Linked DNA regions of Drosophila melanogaster. The protein of the gene in region 1 interacts with the protein of each later gene in a pairwise test. Each region holds a gene or a part of one and is shown in the gene's direction. Other genes may lie near its edges. The genes, in order: CG13494, CG14234, CG12209 and Rdh.

What was found.
Region 2: the proteins of CG13494 (region 1) and CG14234 interact in a two-hybrid assay, tested with the Drosophila melanogaster proteins (one large-scale study listed by BioGRID).
Region 3: the proteins of CG13494 (region 1) and CG12209 interact in a two-hybrid assay, tested with the Drosophila melanogaster proteins (one large-scale study listed by BioGRID).
Region 4: the proteins of CG13494 (region 1) and Rdh interact in a two-hybrid assay, tested with the Drosophila melanogaster proteins (one large-scale study listed by BioGRID).

Annotation. Positions count from the first base shown.
Region 1 is NT_033778.4:21,953,722-21,956,722, reverse strand, and holds CG13494 (uncharacterized protein), read left to right. Parts: upstream 1-1,877; 5' UTR 1,878-1,950; coding exon 1,951-2,313; 3' UTR 2,314-2,481; downstream 2,482-3,001. Other genes in the region: CG43405 (uncharacterized protein), read left to right, coding at 2,771-3,001.
Region 2 is NC_004354.4:19,733,886-19,741,010, forward strand, and holds CG14234 (uncharacterized protein), read left to right. Parts: upstream 1-1,684; 5' UTR 1,685-2,103; coding exon 2,104-2,190; intron 2,191-3,110; coding exon 3,111-3,476; intron 3,477-3,538; coding exon 3,539-3,703; intron 3,704-3,816; coding exon 3,817-4,158; intron 4,159-4,312; coding exon 4,313-4,498; coding exon of another isoform or gene 4,499-4,534; 3' UTR 4,535-6,571; downstream 6,572-7,125. Other genes in the region: AP-1-2beta (adaptor protein complex 1/2, beta subunit), read left to right, coding at 1-345; COX6B (cytochrome c oxidase subunit 6B), read right to left, coding at 7,022-7,125.
Region 3 is NT_033778.4:10,245,541-10,249,486, reverse strand, and holds CG12209 (uncharacterized protein), read left to right. Parts: upstream 1-1,926; 5' UTR 1,927-2,072; coding exon 2,073-2,200; intron 2,201-2,256; coding exon 2,257-2,401; intron 2,402-2,457; coding exon 2,458-2,583; intron 2,584-2,634; coding exon 2,635-2,784; intron 2,785-2,843; coding exon 2,844-3,152; 3' UTR 3,153-3,416; downstream 3,417-3,946. Other genes in the region: CG12914 (uncharacterized protein), read right to left, coding at 327-545, 629-766, 816-962, 1,025-1,175, 1,243-1,355; Hdc (histidine decarboxylase), read right to left, coding at 3,908-3,946.
Region 4 is NT_037436.4:3,823,850-3,829,046, forward strand, and holds Rdh (Red herring), read left to right. Parts: upstream 1-1,599; 5' UTR 1,600-1,674; coding exon 1,675-1,818; 3' UTR 1,819-1,901; intron 1,902-4,538; 3' UTR 4,539-4,676; downstream 4,677-5,197.

The DNA of each region.
Region 1 (3,001 bases):
GCCAATGAATGCGATGATGGCAGGATACGAACATGATCATTGCCATTGCGTTTGTTCCTGATGATGATGATGATTGGTTGGGAATACACATAAATTCAGCTGCGTACGATTTTCATTGGGGACGGATATCTGACCATTTGGGACTTTTCGACTAGGAAGTCATATTTGCCGGAAGATGATTTTCTTTACATTCGCATCTATTCAAGTGGAAAGATAGCCTTAACTTGCTATAAATCCATTTCTTAGATTTAAATAGTTTCTGAAAATATATTTAGTGTAGTGAAGACGCCTGTTTAGTATTCAGTTTTACCCCGAGATGGAATCGCAGACAGATGAGCCTAGTCCTTCCGCCTTTCAACGCGTTGCCCTGCAACTCATCCTTCGTCGAATTCTAATGTGCAAGTTGACTTTGTGCAATCGCGCATTGCATGCCACGCAGTTACCCCTCAGCCCGCAGCCAAAAGCTCTTAACCCCCTGAGGATCCTCAGCCGTTCGAGGGATGCGGCAACTACACGGAGGCACCAACCGCAGCAACAACAAGGACAACGCCTGCGACAGGATATGGCAAGTGGGCAACTTTGGAGCGGGCGAGTTTAAATTGCCAGAGCTAAAAGGGTTGCCAGCAACAACGCCGTGAAAAACGTAACTTTTTTCTGCTTTCCCCTACGATTTCATTCCTTCTTTTTTCAGAAAACATCGACAAGCGGCGCTTTTGACTGCCATTACCCACATTGCCACCCCTCGCAGCTTGTTTTTTGTGGCACAAAACTTTGCACTTTGACATGCAGCCACGTGTGCCATGATGCTATATGTTAAAGGTGTGTATGTGTGTGTGTGTGTGAGTGAGTTTGCAGGTGTGGGTGAATGCATGTCTGAGTGTGGGTGTCAGTGTGAGGCAGTGAATTGAATGAGCTTTCAATGCTGCCACCGCCAATTGGCCGACAAACGTGTCTAATAGTTCCCAATTGCAATCACTGATTTGTGATTCAGAACGAGAAGTGGATTTTTACTTTCCCGGTGAGTATATTATCAGGAGTTGTTTGATCAACCTTTAGTTACTTAACACAATGTTCAGTGTTTAATTATGGTTGAAGTCCAACGCAGTTTATATTTATTATGCACGAAACAGATAGATATCTGAAAAAATATATATTCATTTCGCTGTTTATCGAAGAGCTTCCTTTTGTTTTTTGCATTAAGTTGTTGACTCATTTTCTTAATTTTCTCTGTGGAGTAATCAGCGCACAAAATACAGTCATTATAATCAACGACCTCTTGGTACAGTAAACAGCTCCCTATAACGAACCCAGGCGCACACGTGCGCACACTTGAAAAAAATCTTTCTACTCGCATGAATATTTTAAAGCTCGCATCACATTCAAATTATGATAATGATGGCGTGAGGCGAGGGTGTGTTTTTTGCATATGAGTTAAAGTGGGGGTGTTTCGCAGAGTGGGTGTTTGGAGCGCTAACGAGCGCAGGTACACACAGGAGCTCAGGGACAGCTCCCCAGATCCCCGTTCGAGGACCACCCCTCTCTGCCAACCCAATCCCAGTTCCACCCGCAAAATGCTTTCGTTAATGCATTTCATTAATTATTATACAATTCGAATGGGCATTGTATGACGGGTGGTGTGTTCGTGGGTTTAATGAGTACTTTTGTGGAAAGGATTTTAAGTGCGATTGATCGTTAGAAGTCGCTTCGTGTGGAAGCGTGACGAATGCACCTATGCCCATAAGCTTCTTTGCTTTTGTCTTTCGTAGATGGGGAACTTGAATATATTTAAAACCAAATATGATGCTAAATTGAAAGTGGGCACATATGAAAATTGTGCTGAAGGAGTCTTTGAATACACACTCAACTTTGCTGTCTGAATTTTTGTAATTTATTCTAATTTACAATAAGCTAAACGTTAAACATTTCAATACCGTCAACAAGTGATTAATCATGGATGACACATTATCAACGGTAGAAGGCGGGATGACGGAAACATCCTCATGGAGCACCACGATCGCCACCACCACCACTACAGAGGCCGCCAAGGCGGGTAGCATGGCTGTCGGTATTATTGTCCTGATCGTTGTTATGGTGCTCCTCTGCTGCCTGCTCATCATCTGCCTGCCGCTCCTCTGCCTGTGCGGCTGTTGCGGACTCGCCTGCTCCGCGTGCCTCGCTTGCGACGAAGGATGTTGTGGTGAAGGCGGCGGCGGTGGATGTTGCGGCGATGACGGCGGTGGATGTTGCGGCGATGGCGGCGGGTGTGGCGATTGTGGCGACGGCTGTGGGGACTGCACCTTGGACGATGATTAATTCGGCGATAATTCAAGTTTCTATTAATATGTACGTAGTGCTAGGATATGCGATTCGAAAGCCTATAAATTTAATGTGCTCAGGTACAGATTCGTTAGGAGCATCCGTATGCTCATTGGCAAAATTGTTGTCTATTCATAAAAAATAAAAAAATCTAGCTTAATTTTGAAATGATATCTATTAACTTAATATATGGCAACCAAAAATCAAATTTAAAGTACAAAAAAATATCGACTTCAGTAAGCTGCGACTGTACTCTTAAAATTAAAAAAAAATCTATACCCAAAATAAAATTTCTGAAGGGTCAGGGTCATCGAAATTCTTAAGCTGCTATGCAAGGAACGGTGAGAAGCATTCGTTAATTTAATGTGATTTTCCTTATACATATTTCCTTCCATTTAGAGGGTTCAATCTATTATCGAAAGCAACAAAATTTGCAATTTATTTCCCATAAGCTATGGCCGAGTTGGATGCTACAACCCTATCTGAATACGATATTGAATATATAGACTTTAACATGACAACTGTGGCGTACCGTACAACCACTGGACACCCGGATACTAACCTAGGTGCTTGGGGACTTTTGTTCATATTCGTCGTAATTTTTCTTATCATTGCTGCCTGCTGTGCTTGTATGGGTGTTCTCGTCCTTTTTGGTTGTATGAAGTCCTTTCTCTGTTTTCGCTGT
Region 2 (7,125 bases), on another chromosome or scaffold:
CTGTTCGCCGAGGATGGGCAGTTGGACAAGCGCGTGTTCCTCAACACCTGGAAGGAGATCCCCGCCGCCAACGAACTGCAGTACACCCTGAGCGGTGTAATTGGCACTACCGACGGCATCGCCTCCAAGATGACCACCAACAACATCTTCACCATCGCCAAGCGTAACGTCGAGGGCCAGGACATGCTCTACCAGTCACTCAAGCTGACCAACAACATTTGGGTGCTGCTGGAGCTAAAGCTGCAGCCGGGCAATCCGGAAGCCACTCTCAGCCTCAAATCGCGCTCCGTGGAGGTGGCCAACATAATCTTCGCCGCCTACGAGGCCATCATCCGTTCTCCATAAGCGTTCCATGGCGCACATCCGATGGCATAGGATAAGCACAAAGCAATTGGAGCTATCGATTTGCGTGTGTTGAAGATTAGCTCAACAATAAGTTGTAAATTTACGTATTATTATTATATTGTGTATTGGCCGAATCGCCACCTACATATATTATTTATGCATATGCACACATATAAAATCCAATCGGGTTCGTCGAGAGATCTGTTAATTGTTAATCGGAGCTGCTTGTCACTCAGTGTACTAACGTGTAATAGCAACGTTGCATAACCGCATTCCAAAACTCTGTAACCCCATATGTCCTATGGTCGGCATCTATGTATATGTTTGTGTCCTAGTAAAATGCGAAACACTAAATAATTGTGACATTGTTTTCCTCGACGGCAGTTGCACTAAGCACAGTTTCTATTCGCTTTCAATGGTCATTTCTACAAGGTTCCAAATACGCATGATTATGATTTATGATTTTAGTATTATAATTAAAACTGTGTATTATAATATTTGTCCGTTCGTAAGCCTGAAAGATTTTTATACTTTCAGCTCAAAGTCAAAGTGCATCAAAGTAAGTTTTCTAAGTCGAAGATCTGAGAAAATAATTGCATCAGTTAGGTTAAAAGTCAATATATTGATCAATATTTAGGATCATTAAAATCCAAAACTAGGCTTGAAACTCAAAAGTTAGATTTGAAATATCATATTTACTTGAAAATTCGTTAAGGAGAAAGAGGTTTTCCTGCTGCAAATATAGAATCCATCAGATAGGAGTTGCAAAGCGCTTTTCCCGCGCAGATCAACTTTGCGTCAAACTATGGCCACGCCCACATTGGCCCACGTATGTAAGTGGAGCATTCTGTAGCGATTTGTACAGACACCCAAAGCTATCGAAGCTACCGAGGAGTCAAACCATATCCCAAAGCTTTGCTTCCATGTTTACAGGGATAACCATGTTGTATGCAAAGGATATACATATATATATATATATAATGGATTCCCAACTGATCATGCTGGTCAGTGGAAAGATTGCAGCAATTGGTACTAACTGAGGCACCCACTTAGCAATGGTTGTAATGGGCTCATCAAGACAGCAGTGGACCAGTTAAGGGTATAAGCGGAATGTGGTATACCTGGTCAGGGATGCGAAGGATGGGTGGTGGCGTCGAGCTTCGGCGCCTGAGCTTTCGAAGCTTTCGCGCGAACCCTTCGGGGGTTGTTTGGATGCCTGTGCGACCAACGAGAGCGCAAGAGAGGACAGGCTTGCCCATCGAGGACGTGGACGTGTAGCCATCCCTGTCGTGGCCACAGGACACACTGACTGTTTGCCTGCTCCACTGTTTTCCTGTTGTACCACAAGCTATTCTGGCTTGGCCCCGATTGTAACGAATCCGTATCGCACGTCGCAGTGCGAAAATGTGTGCAAATACTGCAATGTACCCGCAGTAAATTGGCCGCAGGATCGCTTGACACTCGCTGCAAAAGGACATCCAGGTGCTACGCCCTATTTCGCAGTCAATCCAGCCAGGTGGTAGTATAGGTGTACAGGCATAGGTGTAACCAACCATGCCCCTGCGAACGGTGCAGGAATGCGGAGTCCTTTTGTGCCAGTGAAGAGCAACCAACACGAAACAACGCCACGAAGAGGACAATCCGCCAGTGCTGTGTAGAAGAACAAGAACCAGAACAACAAGGACAAGACCAAGAGCATCGAGTACACCAGATCGCAGATTCCGTTGAGAAGGGTCCGCCAAAAATTAGTCCGCCGGAATGAGGGTGGCGGCGGACATGGTGTATGACTACGGCAGCGAGGACTCCATGAGCACCACCCACCTGGACTGGCCCTTTCTCATCAAGGTTCGTATCAGCAGCCCCTCGCAACCGCCCTTGTCCATCAACCCCTCTTCCCAAACCCTCGACATATTTGCACGCTTTTTAGGTTAAGTCGAGACTACAATATGCAAAGTGTCGAGTATAATGTGTATAAGTGGGGTTTGTGTGTCAACAGCTTTGTCACTGCGAGGACGCGAATGTATGTAGAGCTTCATGTGCATCCCTGTCAGGCTCCCGAAGGCTTATTCCACCTTGTAATCGGATCTGGGGAGGGTAAAACTCCGCCAGCTGTAAACAATCCGTAGTCCCTTTAAATACAATATGTGTACATCCTTAGATCATATTTCGTATTATTTTATAGGTTGCTCATTGCTTATGTTTCTATGTTTATACTTTCTAAACTATGCTTGATATAGAACTACTATGAACTACTACTACTACTTCAACTATAATCCTTAATTGATATTCTAATGTAAATTTAGTCAAATAGGGTTTTTTTAGGAGAGAGTTCTTTTCGTCAAGTTCTTTAAGGATTATAACGATTCCTTTTCCCCTTTTAATTAATTCTATAGCGATTTCATTGGATAATATTCAATATGAAATATTACAGAACTTATAGGCTTTAAGTTAATCAGTCCCGCTGATTCCAACCGATTTAATACTAGTTATAGGAGATATATCCCGTGTTTTTATGTGAGCCAAGTGGTTATGCCTGCCACCGTGCAATGCGTTGGCTAAGTGGCTGCAAAATGGCCAATTTGAAGCCACCTGAAGTAGGTTGAAGTGAGTTACTGCTCACTGCTCTGGCCAGTGACCAGAAGTGAGCAGGGTGGTGTGCTGGGCGAGTAGTGGCGTCAGCGCACGGCCCTTGCTTGATAAGTGTGTCGTGTCCTTGGTCGCATTACGGTGACACGCCCCCGATAACCAGTGACCTCCTCCCGCAGGGCATCCTGGAGGGGCAGACGTGCACGCCCACTGCGCCGGAGCCGCTGGCCGCCATCCTGTGGGCCATCTTCGCCGTGTTTGGCATCGTGTACGCGCTACTCGGCTACCGATGCCTGCGCGCCGTGGGCTTTCTCAGTGGACTGCTGGTGGGCGCCAACGGGATCTTCATTCTGCAGGACTTCCAGATCACCTTCCTGGGCAAGCCGGCGGACTCGGCGCTGGCCATTGTGGCGGGTTTGCTGGGCGCGGTGCTCGGCTCCACATATCCGGTGGCCTCTGTCCTCATTAGCGCCTTTGCCGGCGCCCTGCTCTCCGGCGCAGCCATGGCCGTCTGCGTGGCCACCTTTCCGGACAACGAGTTTGGGGTAAGTTCCTCCCCTCTTTGTTTTGCTTGCACCAGATGCTTATATCGATTCCCCTACCGCAGTACCGCGAGATCTATGTGGCCGTGGTGGGTGGAGCCGTCATCTGCTCCGTGCTGACCTTGTGCTGCGTGAAGTACGTGACCATTCTCACCTCCAGCATTGTGGGCACGGCCATGATCCTCAGCGCCATCGACTTCTTCACGCACGGTCTGGAGACCATCAATTGGGTGAGTCATGTCTGCTCCACATGTCCACCATTGGCTGGTTCGATGTGAAGCTGTCTGTTTAGTTGATACGGAGGGTGGAGAAAGCATTGATGGAATTATATAACTCTCTGCAGATAATCGGCATGCGGCCGCATCCCTCGCCGCCACCTTGCTACGGTGGCCTCCTGATCGCCGCCTGGCCCGTCACCATTGTGCTCAGCATCATGGTGCAGTGCTTCATTACCGCCTGGCGCGTGGATCACCGCAAGCGGGTGTACATGCGGCATCACAACCATCCTGGCCACGCGCACGGCGCCCATCTGCCGCACAGCCAGCAGCAGGCGGGACCCAACCACGGCATCGCTCCCGTCCGGCGATCCCAATCCCGCACCCGGGAGACGCGCGAGGAGGCCAGGCAGCGCAAGTTCCGCTATCTGTACCAGGTGCGCACGGCCCGTGGTGACATCATATCGCAGGTGAGTGGTTTGCTCTCATATGGACCCGGAAATGCGAGTAAAGGTGTCCAAAAGTATGCAACAGTATATGATGTATGCATACCTAGGCACCTTAGCGCGTGACTACTGCGTCGTAGCAGACCAAGCTGATCCTGTGGGCATCTCTTGTTTGCAGAACTTCGTGTCGGCTCTGCAGAAGCGCATCCAGCTGAGCGGCACGGAGACGCCGTCGGAGAGATCGATAAAGAGCAGCTCAAACGAACGAAACACGTTCCGGAGCGACCGCACGCACTTCACCACCATCCACGATCCGGACTCGGAGCTGTGCGACAAGATCGAGATCGTCCGTGACATTGGATAACAAACAAGCAATAGCTACATGTAACTATACCCGTAGGGGGGCTACGGGCTGCGGTACTTGGGCGCGGATGTGGTCATGGTCGGGGGACACAACTGTATGGTTGGATAGTTAAACGGGATTGGGGGCTCTAGGGAGCCGCCACGTAGAGCGGCGGAGGACTCACACAAGTACGGTTGCATGTAGACTTTTTAAGACGAGGCACCAAGTGCCGGACACAACACAAACGGAAGCGGAAATGGTGGCACAGAACCGAGTGGATGGTCATTGGAAGCTTTAAATATCAGAGGATATACGACGGATCTTTAGCTGGTTTCGCATGGAAGCCTTGGAGCTGGCGCCAGCCACAGATCAGGGGGACGAGATAGTCTAGACTAAGATTAATCGCATCGTGCACAGCTAGAGTCTAAGATGATGGACAGCACGGAAGGAAGCTGGCAGGAAGCTTTTGTTCTCTTCACTTAATCGAATGTTACTACAGATAGGAATACCTACACTACATATGTATGTAGCGATGGGCTGCGTGATGCATGATTGTGGTGGTGGATCATGGGTGCCTGAGATTCCTGTAACTACACTATACCCAACGCAGTACTCGTAGCTTCTCCCTTTTTCGTATATAGCCAGGCAATTGCAATTACTAATCCGGTTCATATCTGTGTTATAACTCTACGATTATAATGGGATGCATCCCAGCTGCAGGAGTTCCATTTCAACTATCTAGCATGATATTTATATATATAAGCATTACGTTGTAAACTCCAAACACTCGATCATCGCACAGCAGTTTCTCGGAGGCTCAAGGCAGGCGAAAATACAATACAATACCTATTAAGTACAATAAGAGAGGGTGGGGAGGGGGAGGGGGAAGTTGGAGCCATAGCCATCTAGACTAGTAGTAGACTAGAACTAGGATTAGCCAGTTACCCGGATGAGCCAAAGCCACTAAGCCACTTAATTGTCGATACCAGTAAATCACAATCCGCTGCAAGGGGCGCACTTGGGGCTCGACCAAGTCAGAATCCAACGATCCGCTCGATCAGCCGTCTTAGCGTTATCCGTAAGATTAGCGTTCGAAATATATATATATATATATATATATATATACTTTAAGACATTAGATCCATGCAAACAGCGGTACAAACTTCAGAAATTCACGCTATATATGCTAGCCGAGACATACCAATTTAAGTGATATAAAGCATTTTAAACGGTCTGATTATGGGGCTTAATCGGGTTACTAGAGCGAAATGAGTCCGTGCATCTGGTTTTCAGAAGTCTTGTGGTCGTCTTCCATCCGCTTTTGTTTCCAAGCAACATTACATTTCATTTCAAAGTACGGACGTATTTCTCAATCCACAGTACGGATTAAGCCCTTTTAGCTGGACACACCTACAACCAATAAATAGATAAAGTGATGCGTTTAGGGGAAGAACTAGAACTGGAAGGGTTCTTTCTCCAAGCCGCAAAGAAGGATTGGACATTGCCGGGCAGGAACTTCCATGTCGAATCGGTTGGTTTCCAAGTCGCAAACACCTATACTAAATACAACTCGAGTTTCCTGTTAAGTTGATTAGCAATTAGTTTCTAGGAATGGCTGCCGTCCGCAATTGTTGATTTATTACTATCGAAGACTATAGACTTTATATTTCCGAATTTTGTTCTCAAACTCAAGTGCTTATACTTTGATTCCTATTAGTTGTTCACTCTATCCTCCTGTCGTTCTAATGTTCAACAGCAATGTCTAATGCAGCACGATAATGCATTTAACTTCGGCAAACAGTAGACGTTTTGTACGACACACTCAATTCGGTTTAATAAAATATATATATAAAAAAAAAGGATAATAACTGCAAACTAAAGTAGTGAAAATCATAAAAAGAGTTGCACACATGTATACACCACTAATGAAATCCAATTAAAAACTAATATAACAAAAAGGCCAAAAGCGATTATAACCAGAAAGAATCCGATTTCCGAATGAAATCAAGTCTTGAGACGACGGGCTGCCAAAGATTAAACAACTTGTAATGAGCAAACAGAAAAGTAATATTAAATAAACGATGCAGGCCACATGTGCGTTTTTCTTCTTTAAGTTACAGAACCTCTCATCCACTCACAACAAGTGGATCAAATGACGAAACACCGGACTCTTTGTGTCTAATTGTTTATTAATAATAACACATCGGAATACAGTGGCGTGGCGTCGATCTGATTCGGATGCCAGTTCGGCCAGCAACGGCAGGACCAAGAATCAAGGATCAAGGATCAAGGATCAAGAAGAAACAAACACAAACGATCGGTTCAGAATTCAAGTAATTGAACATTTGTGTATTTTTTTTTTTGTATTTGCCGATGATGGTCTGCATTCACCGCTGGGGAAAGCACAAACACAAACTAGTCTCTGTTGCAATTGCCGGATTCTGGTTACCACGCTCCTCTACCTCCGTCCGTCCATCGATCGTGTCCTGTGTGTTTGGGTGCTGGATTGCTGGGTTTACTGTGTTGCTGCGTCTCTGGCGCAGCTTAGATGCGGCCGGGGAATGTGCCGCTCTCGCGCTGGTCGTCCCACTTCTCCACCCAGGCGTTGGGGCACATCGACTTGTAGACCTTCTGGAAGTAGTTGCAGG
Region 3 (3,946 bases), about 12 Mb from region 1:
ATATATACGTGTATATCATCCAATTGAAAATACATCATGCCACCTACACTTTAACCGGACCCATCAAGTCCACCGAAGTTTTATGGAAACGTTTCGCGGACAGAGCCATTTATTTACATTCAGCGTTTTTGCTTAAGATGCGCGTGCCATGGAAACAGTTATCGATTTTCCGGCAAACCGAATCGAAACAAGACGACAGCAGTCGCGGGCACCCAGACAAACTTGCCCCATCGACATCGAGGCACTGACCAATTGCCGCAGGAACTGAATCGTCTCGCATAAACATTCTGTCCCAGCTGTTCCGATAGTCCACGCATGCGTTCCACTCATTCGATGTTCTTCCGATAGAACAGGTACACGAATATATCATGAATGTCCGCGCGCCATCCCATCAATTCTATAAACGAGGCTGTCGTCCACACATAGCCCATATATAGGGCAAAAAAGTTGAGGTAGTACAGCTGGCCGATCAGTATGTAGTCCCCGGTCGACTCCTGGCGGTAGAAGTTCGGCTTTCGCATGGAAGCGCCAAAGACTATGACAAACTGTGGGCAAAATTGGAGGAATACTGTGTCGTTATTTTAAAAATGGGAAAGTAGGTGTATCGTTTCGTTTCCCTGAGGCTTACCACGCTCGAGAGAATGGTGTATACTAGCAGGGTTGGAAACTCTATGATAACACGCTTCATCTCGGCACACACGATGATGCCAAAGCAGGTGAGGACAAATATGCGCTCGCTCCACAGGATAACCTTATGCCGGGTAGTCTGTGGTAAAGGAGGTAAGTGTCGGCGGGTCAACAAGTTCTTCACTTACGAAAAGGCCTTTCTTGTGTTTGATGGCACTATTTCCGTATATCACACTGATGATCATCATAAGGAATGTTAGGAAGATTGACAGGATGAGGCTTATATAAGGGGCACGTTTGGCGGGCTTCATGATCGACATGGTGTTCACCTCGTACTGCAGATCAAAAGAGGTCATTCGAAATGGACACCATCAGTTGAGATCATTCATGTACTTACCGTCCAGAGGCCCGCCAATAACCGCACCCACATAGGCTTTTTAACGATTATGTGGTAGAAAAATCCGTAGAGCTGGATGGATAGGAAGCTGACGACAAATTGCACGAGACTGAGGTAGTAGCGATCTGCGAGAAATTCCTTCAGGGGAGTGCTGAAAAAGAGGAGCAATTGAAAGGTCTGTCAAAAGCCGCAGGGCAAGAGCATGGATCACTACTCACATCTCCATCGCCACCGAGACCTGAATCTGTCCGATGACGAGCATAATTATGGTTACTCTGTACGTGGGTCCCACCCAACTCTTTTGGCGCGGTGGGGGGTTTTCGCGCAACATATGTACAGACGCTCTAGTTCTGAAACTGTATTTGGAGTGGCTTGTTTCGATTCACATCTAAATTTATGAGAAAAACATCAAACTATCAGAAAAATAAATGCCAACTGTTCTGTCCGCCAGCGGGATCGCGGTAGGTTGGATTGGTCCGTTAATCGTTACCTTCCGGTTGGTTTTGAGGTGTGAAAACTCATTTGCGGCACGTAAATGACCAGCAAAGTACGGCCATACAAAAATTTTGCGAATTCTGTATGTTGTGTAACTGCCTAACTCCCATTTTACATTTTGCAATGAATGATTTTATATTCATTGAAAGTATTCCTACAAAACCCTAGATATCTATGATAAAACATACATTTTTTGAACTAGTTTTTGAAATCAAGTCACTATAATCATTGAAAAAGGTGAGCATATAGGTGACCATAGAATTGCGTGCTTGCTTTTAAAATGTAAAACTGAAAATAATTGAATCGTATGCTCGTATTTTCACTATACATGCTTCTTTCTTCTGAGTGCGCAGAGTATATTTAGTGAACTAATAGAGTTTACTAATAGAATTAAATATCTTGGTGTAGTGGGTATCTTTCATCGCAGTGGTTGCTGGCCACCCAGCTTCACATATCAGAGTGGCCTGGACTTCTCCATTAGGTTTGAAATTAGTTATCGTTTGTTACTGAATTCCATACTCCAACACGATACCCGGGCCACGCCCACACCGCCATGGAGGACCGCCGCCAGAGAATGCGGGCATATCGGCGGGCCCGCCGAAAGTTTGCCTGCGTCGTCTACATGGTGACCATAGCCTGGATGGTCCTGGCTATCTTGCAATGGCTCCTGGTCAGCCTGATGTGAGTTGGGCAGCTGAGTTTGGGGTTCTTTACCGCTGTAACCGCTGTTCTTTCAGATCGGACATAAGTATGACCTTCACAAACTTTTACTGGATTAGCGTGATCTTCTTCGCGCTGGCCATGGTGATGGTCACGGTGTTCATATTCTTCGAGAAGGTCCGATTCATCATTGGCCTCAACTGGCTGATCACCGTGCTTATAGTGAGTATCCTGCGAACACATTCCGCATGATCTTTCACCTTGAATTCCTTGGCTAGGTGGAGTTTATAATAATTGGTATGTTCGCTCTGGTGGCAAGAACTCTCTGGCAGGACTTGATAATGTGGTTTATCATCTGTGTGCTGTTTGTCTTCATGTTTGTGCTGCTGGGATCCATTATACCAGTAAGGGTGTTTGCATATTTGCAATATTTTTGCTTGAATTTGTATTCCCAGCACGATCTTACATTGGACGTTGTAATATTGTTTGTAATGGCATTTATTTTCCTGATCATCACCGTATTCTTTGTCATGATGCACATTCTGATCGATATGCCGTACTCCTTTGTGGTATTCCAGATCTTCATAAGCCTTATTGTGCTCTTGGTAAAAATTGAACGTTTTACTTATCGAGCCATTAGTATGATAATATATAATTTCCTTAGTTCGTGATGTACCATGCCCAGACGATCAATGGTGGACGCTTTGCCGAGATGCGGCTGAACGATCACCTGTTGGCCTCGCTCATCCTCTTCCACGACTTCATCATCATCTTCCTGCTCACCTTCTATGCACAGATTATCTACCGGTTCGCTTCGAATGCCGCGAAAACCACGGGATCTCCGTTAGAGGGCAGTTGGGTTCAGACGACACCGATTAATGGGGATGACGTCGTGGAAGACAATGACGAGGACAGCGAGGATGGACCGTCGGCAGTGGGCAGTGAGAATTCCCCAGGTGGAAATGCATCATAACCCTCCAAAGGGGGCAATGTATTCATCTAGAGGCGAAGAGACTACTTTTCTCCAGGAGTAATGATCGAGGGCATCAAATTGCAGGATGGCTTGGTACTTAGTCGACTTGTAATTAGTGCCAATTAATACCCAAAGGTATTAAGGAGACATATTTGGTATCCTGAAAACGCGAAAAATGCTGTGACTTATACAACAAAGAATCCAAAAATGGGCTTAGAATAGCATATTTTGTCCATAATAAAACAGATATATTACTTGTGTTGTAACTAGAACTTTGAAACTTTAATCACACTGAAATTGATTAGACATGGAGATACATATGTAAGCCGGTAAGTTTTTGAGTTTTGAGTCTTGACCGATTGTTAGCTTAAAATAGGAAATTTATAGTATTATGGTATGGGCATGCATATTTTGTAGAGTAACGTACGGCACAACATTGATTGGAATTACGATTGATTGCATTATTGATTGATTGCACAGCAGCGTTCGATGATTTACCCCTCTTTCCCAATCACACATACATATATACAATGAACTGAGGTGTCAAATAATATTGAATAATAACGTAAGTCATGGGATCCAAATAAAATGTGTAACTTCAGATTGAGTAAGCTAAACAAATAAGATGTATAGTTGGATCATTACCAACTACTTCTTGGTTTAAACAAAGAGAAAAAGATTCTATAATTAGGTACTTTTTCTGTCCTTAGATTCATTGTATAGTAAAACTTAATATGGAATTTTTAAGGCTATCACTAAAGCGACTCCATCGATGAGGTTGTCGAACAAACGGT
Region 4 (5,197 bases), on another chromosome or scaffold:
TTATTCCTGGCTTAACATTATTGGCAGCGACAATGAAAAAAAAATGTCCTTTCGTCTGCTTATCGCTCCTATTTACCCCCATGTTTTTGCTCCTCTAAGGAACGAGGTTCTAAAAGCTTTTTTATTGCCCACTCAAACGATGAATGCATTCATCATGAGGAAAGGGAGGAGACTCAGAGGCAAATAAAATAACTGGCATATCCCGTCAGGAATCAAATGCAATTTCAGGCTATAAATTGACAGATATGCAAGCGGAAAAGAGATGGGAAAAGGGCAGTAGAAAGAGACGGAAGAGCTTCAATTGATGGACACTTTTTTGGTCAATTTGCCAGTGATTTGCGAGGGTAATTGAATTGGAAAAAGTTTTTTTGTGGGATATAGAGTATATGATGATTTATGGGATAAGTTTTAAGTGGTTTAAAAGTGGTTTACTTTGCTGGAAATGTTCCAGAAAATTAAGCTAGAAAACTATATTTAACGAAAATAGACAATGTATTTCGGTTTGTTCTTACAGCTTTAAAAGGATATGCAATAGTCGAATATTTTCCCTCTTCATTAAAACTATTTGCATTCGCTTATCTGCTGGCTTTCACACAGGCAATTTGATTAAAAGTGTTTGAAACCGAGATTTAGATTGCTGTGATGAAAAATCTCTTTTAATATTTACATTCAATTAAAATTGAATTCGATTTCCAGGTATGGCATGTTTTGTTTTTCATCGACTTTGGTGAAGTTTTTGTTTTACTTTTTTTGCCCCATAACATTCCTGTTTGGCAGGACTCTCCTTCTGCAGGACTCTCTCCCCTTCCCTCTCACGCACTTATGCTCACATGTCCAAGGTCCTTTTGTGGCCTGCTAGGAAGTGAAGCCACAGAACCAAGCAGGGATATAGGGATATATAGGCAGAAAACGCAGAAAAACACAAAGGATGAGATGCCCAGTAACCAGAACAACAACTGCACTCGCTACGCAGCGCACGCACACAAACGCACCACGAAGGACAATAAAAGCAACAACAATAGCCACCAGGAGCAGCAGCAACTAGAAGGAGTAGATGAGAACACTGACAAAAATAATGCCGCAAACAATATGAAATTATTAAGAGTAATATATATTGTTTATATTGATTCTTGTTTCCACTCATTAACGGATTAAGCAATCAAAAAATTATGCGCAAAAGCTTTTAATATATTTAAGAGTTTAAAAATACTCCCAAATGTAGGCTCTAAAAGTTGGGCGCCAATTATTTAATTTTTTCTTCAAATTAATTGATAATTTCTTCGAGTGAGTGCAGAGTGGAGAGTCTCGAGCAAATGCCACCCCAATAAGCATTTTGCCTCTGGGCCATGGGACATCGGGCGAACTATATGGTAGGGAGGATATCTAGAGAGTGAGAGAGGGGGCTAGGATGTGGGAAAGGGAGGGGGAGACCCATACGCTTTAACCTGTTTTCCGCGAAGCTTTTACGCACTCGCAGCGCTCTCTTTTTGCGTGACCAAAGCGAGAGCAAAAGAGAGCGAAAGACTCGCTTGATTTTTTTTGCCACCCTTCTGGGGGAAAAGCACAAGCACGAATGAGGAGATTTTCAGCCGAGAGATTCTAGAGAGAAAACCAGAGGAAAAGAGACCTTCCGCCAGCGAATTGGCCCAGTATCCATTCGGCCGTGTTCCCATAATGTCCGCCAGCGGTCGTCGCTTCTGTCGCAGCCGTTGCCAAAGTTGTCATTGTCATCCGTACCAGCAAACGCAGCAGCAAAAGCAGCAGCAGCAGCAGCAGCAGCAACATCAGGCAGCAGCAGCAGCAGCAACTAGCAACTAGCAGCAGCAACATCTATAGGAGAAGCAGAGCCGCAGCAGCAGCAGCAGCTTAAAAATACATTTTTCACAATGAAGCAAACGGAGGCAAGAAAAAATTAGTGCCCGAGAAAATTAGTTTTTCAAGAAAAAATACAAAAATAACAAAAAGAGCGAGTGAGAGGGGCATAAAAGCCGAGAGAATGAGATGGAGAGAGAACAATGGTCGATGGGGTTTTTGCGGTTGTGGGGCTCTGTTCTTCGGTTTTCGCTTCTCAATACAAGAGTTGCTGGTGGAATATACAAAAAAGAAGGAAAACACAAATGGCACGCGCGTTGAAAAAAATAAAAATATCGGTTTTAGAGTGAAATTGCAGACACCGAGTGGTAAATGGATATGTAAAGCTGAAAAGGAAGCCCCTTTGCCGGGCAGAGTGTTTAAAAATATATAAATAAAATGAAAAGTGCAAAGAAATGTGTGCGAAAACGAGAAAAATGTTTTCGAGTCGCGAGGAATTTTCATTTGCTTAAAAGACAATTTTTTTCGGTGGCCTTTTTGGTGTATTATACATACACAGTCGCACACGTTTTTCCCACACACACACACACACTCATACGAGAGTTCGGGTCTTTTTCTCGGGTTCGTTTTTCATTTCGTATTTTTCTTTAACAGCATTTTAGTTTGTGTATTTTCGACATTCGGTGACGTTTCAACATACAAATTAGTAAGAGTTTTCCGCGCGAGAGGTGGAAAACTGCATGCTTGGAACATTTCATCGACTTGTCAACAAATTATAATCGTTATTTGGCTCTTTGGTGGAAATGGACGCCCCATTTAGCCCTCATCTTTTGCTTCTTCCTCCCTCTTTTGGGGTTTTTTTGCTGTTTCATTTTCCATTTCCCTTCCACTGCCTTTGCGAGTGCATTGCAGCCAACTTCCTGCTCGAGCTTCTAAAGTGCAGGCACGCCATGCTCTCTCTGGGTATGCACTCAAAGAAAATTGTGGTTAGAATTTACTTATAAATTAATTTGAGTAATAATAATAATATAAGAGGTTTTAAATACTTACAAATGTAGGATACAAAATACTTTAAAATCTTGGTAATAGTTTAATAACTAAAGCAGTTATATTGGGAACATTTCCTTATATTTTCCTCAGTGTACTACTTTTAAGGCTCTTCTTCCCTTTTGGGTTCTCCCACGCACGCGCTTTGGAGCTTATTCTCCGAAGACTAGACGACCGCAACACATTTCCTAGTACTCGTCACTACGGGGAAGCTTTTTGTTTGTCGCTTTGAGCGGCTGGAGGTCCAAAGGACACACCGATAGGCGAAGAAAGAGAGGGCGTGTGTAGTGAGTGAGTGAGCAGCTGTAAACAGCAAAACAGCAGGAAGGCCAAGTCGTAATACCACGCCACATGCAACCCATAATTCCACACCCCCTTCTCCGGATTCTGAATCAGACTCCTCACCCGAATGCAATTTTGCGACTCTTGTCCCAAATTTGGTTGGCGAACTTTGTCGTTGGCTTTGCCTTCGCCTCGTTTCCATCGAAAGCCGTTAGAATTGGCAAGGAAAAGCGGTGGAAAAACGAAGACGAAGACGTCGTCACCTTCGTTTTGGTCGTGTGCCACACGTCGTATGCGTGTTTCTTTTTAAGGCGGCTACGTCATCTGTCACCTGCCCACTTTTTCGCTTTTCTCTCGTGCGATTCTCCAAATCTCGTTTCTCGCTTCTTGCTTCCACTCGCTTTTCGCATTTTTCGCGGGTATTTCCCAGAATAAAAGATTCACTGCGACTGTCATGGCATTTCGCATTTGGCCAGGTGTTTTTGGCCCAAAACCTTCATTCATCTATTCTATTCTATTCTTTTTGCATTTATATTGCATTTTATATGAGTATTGGTAGAAAACAAACGAAAGGAAAATGATTCTTTGTCATAATTTTTAAAGGCTTAAACGCTTTGGGAAAATCGAAGCAAAGTCTTTTTAAAATTTCATCATACTTATCGTAACTAATTCATTTTTAAATATTCCTACACAGATTTCTGATTACTTTCTATATTCAACAGAGAATGCAAAAATCCTTTAGCTATTGTACAACTTTTTGGGAACTTTCCGTTGCCCTTAACTTCACACAGCAATTTTTAATTATATAAACGCAAAGAATAGTAGCCCCCTTATTCAAGATTTCATTACTTGCCGATGCAAACACCGACTTGCCTCAGTTATTTATGCAAAGTCCATTCAACTCGGACAGATAAACATCAAAATTTGAAACAATTTTTGGGAGTTCAGCTCAACCCCTCTAGTAGGCACAAAAAGTGAACGAAATTGGCTACCTACTCCATAAATTGTGACAATCAAAAACTCAAGATAATTACGTTGAAAGGGAACCAGTCGCTTGTTACGGGTGTGTGTGCGAGTGGTGTCGTCCTTATAAGGATATTCGCCAGGAGCTGAGGTGCCCTGAAGATACAGAGAGCAGGCGAATATCCACCCTTCTAATCGTGCCGAGGGCAATATTCGCATCATGAAATTTTCTCGGCTTTCGGTTCGTGCAGTTTGAATATCAAAATAAATCGTAAACAAGGTCATATTGTCTACGAGTGTGTGATACACGGATACACAGTTTTGCCAAAGGGATTCATTCTCTCGGCTTCCGACTCTCTCTCTCTCTCTCTCTCGCGTGCGCGTTTTTCTCTTTTGGGGAAAAGCCTTCGATTAAACTTCCTCCAACTTTGCAGATGGTAAAATGTGTGCCACAGGAAACAACAGGATGTCAGAGAAATCCTCAAAGAATCCAAACTATATAGACAACCAGATGGAAATATCTCAATAAACATAAACAAACAAAGAAACAAGTAACAAAACCGAGGAAAAGGAAAAATCAGCGAGAGAAATAATCACAAACAAACCGAAAGAAAGAAAGCTTTAACTAAAATATTTTTAACTATACAATATACATACATATATAAATTAATTATAGAAATAGCAACCTAAGTGTTTAGTGCGTAAACGAATTAAATTTTAAACAAAATAATTGGGAAAATCGAGCAAGTGTACAGACCAAAAAGTGTGGGCAGCTTCTGATTTTCGGTGATATGGTGTAAATGTGATAAACAACGTTCTAAAGAAAACAACAAACAAACAACCAAATCGTTTTAAAACTCAATTACCACAATAACAAAACAAAATACCTTAAACTAGTGTTTTATTTTTCCTCCCTTCGCAAAGTTTTTTGCCACGAAAATCCAATACAATAACTATTTATCTACAAAAAATACTAAGCCTTGCATCTTATAAACAAACTTAACTAATTGTAAACTATTCTAAGTCGCACAAAACCAATGCAAATCGAGTGAAAACAACAGCGTCAGAGATTTTTGGTTCAACCTTTTTTATA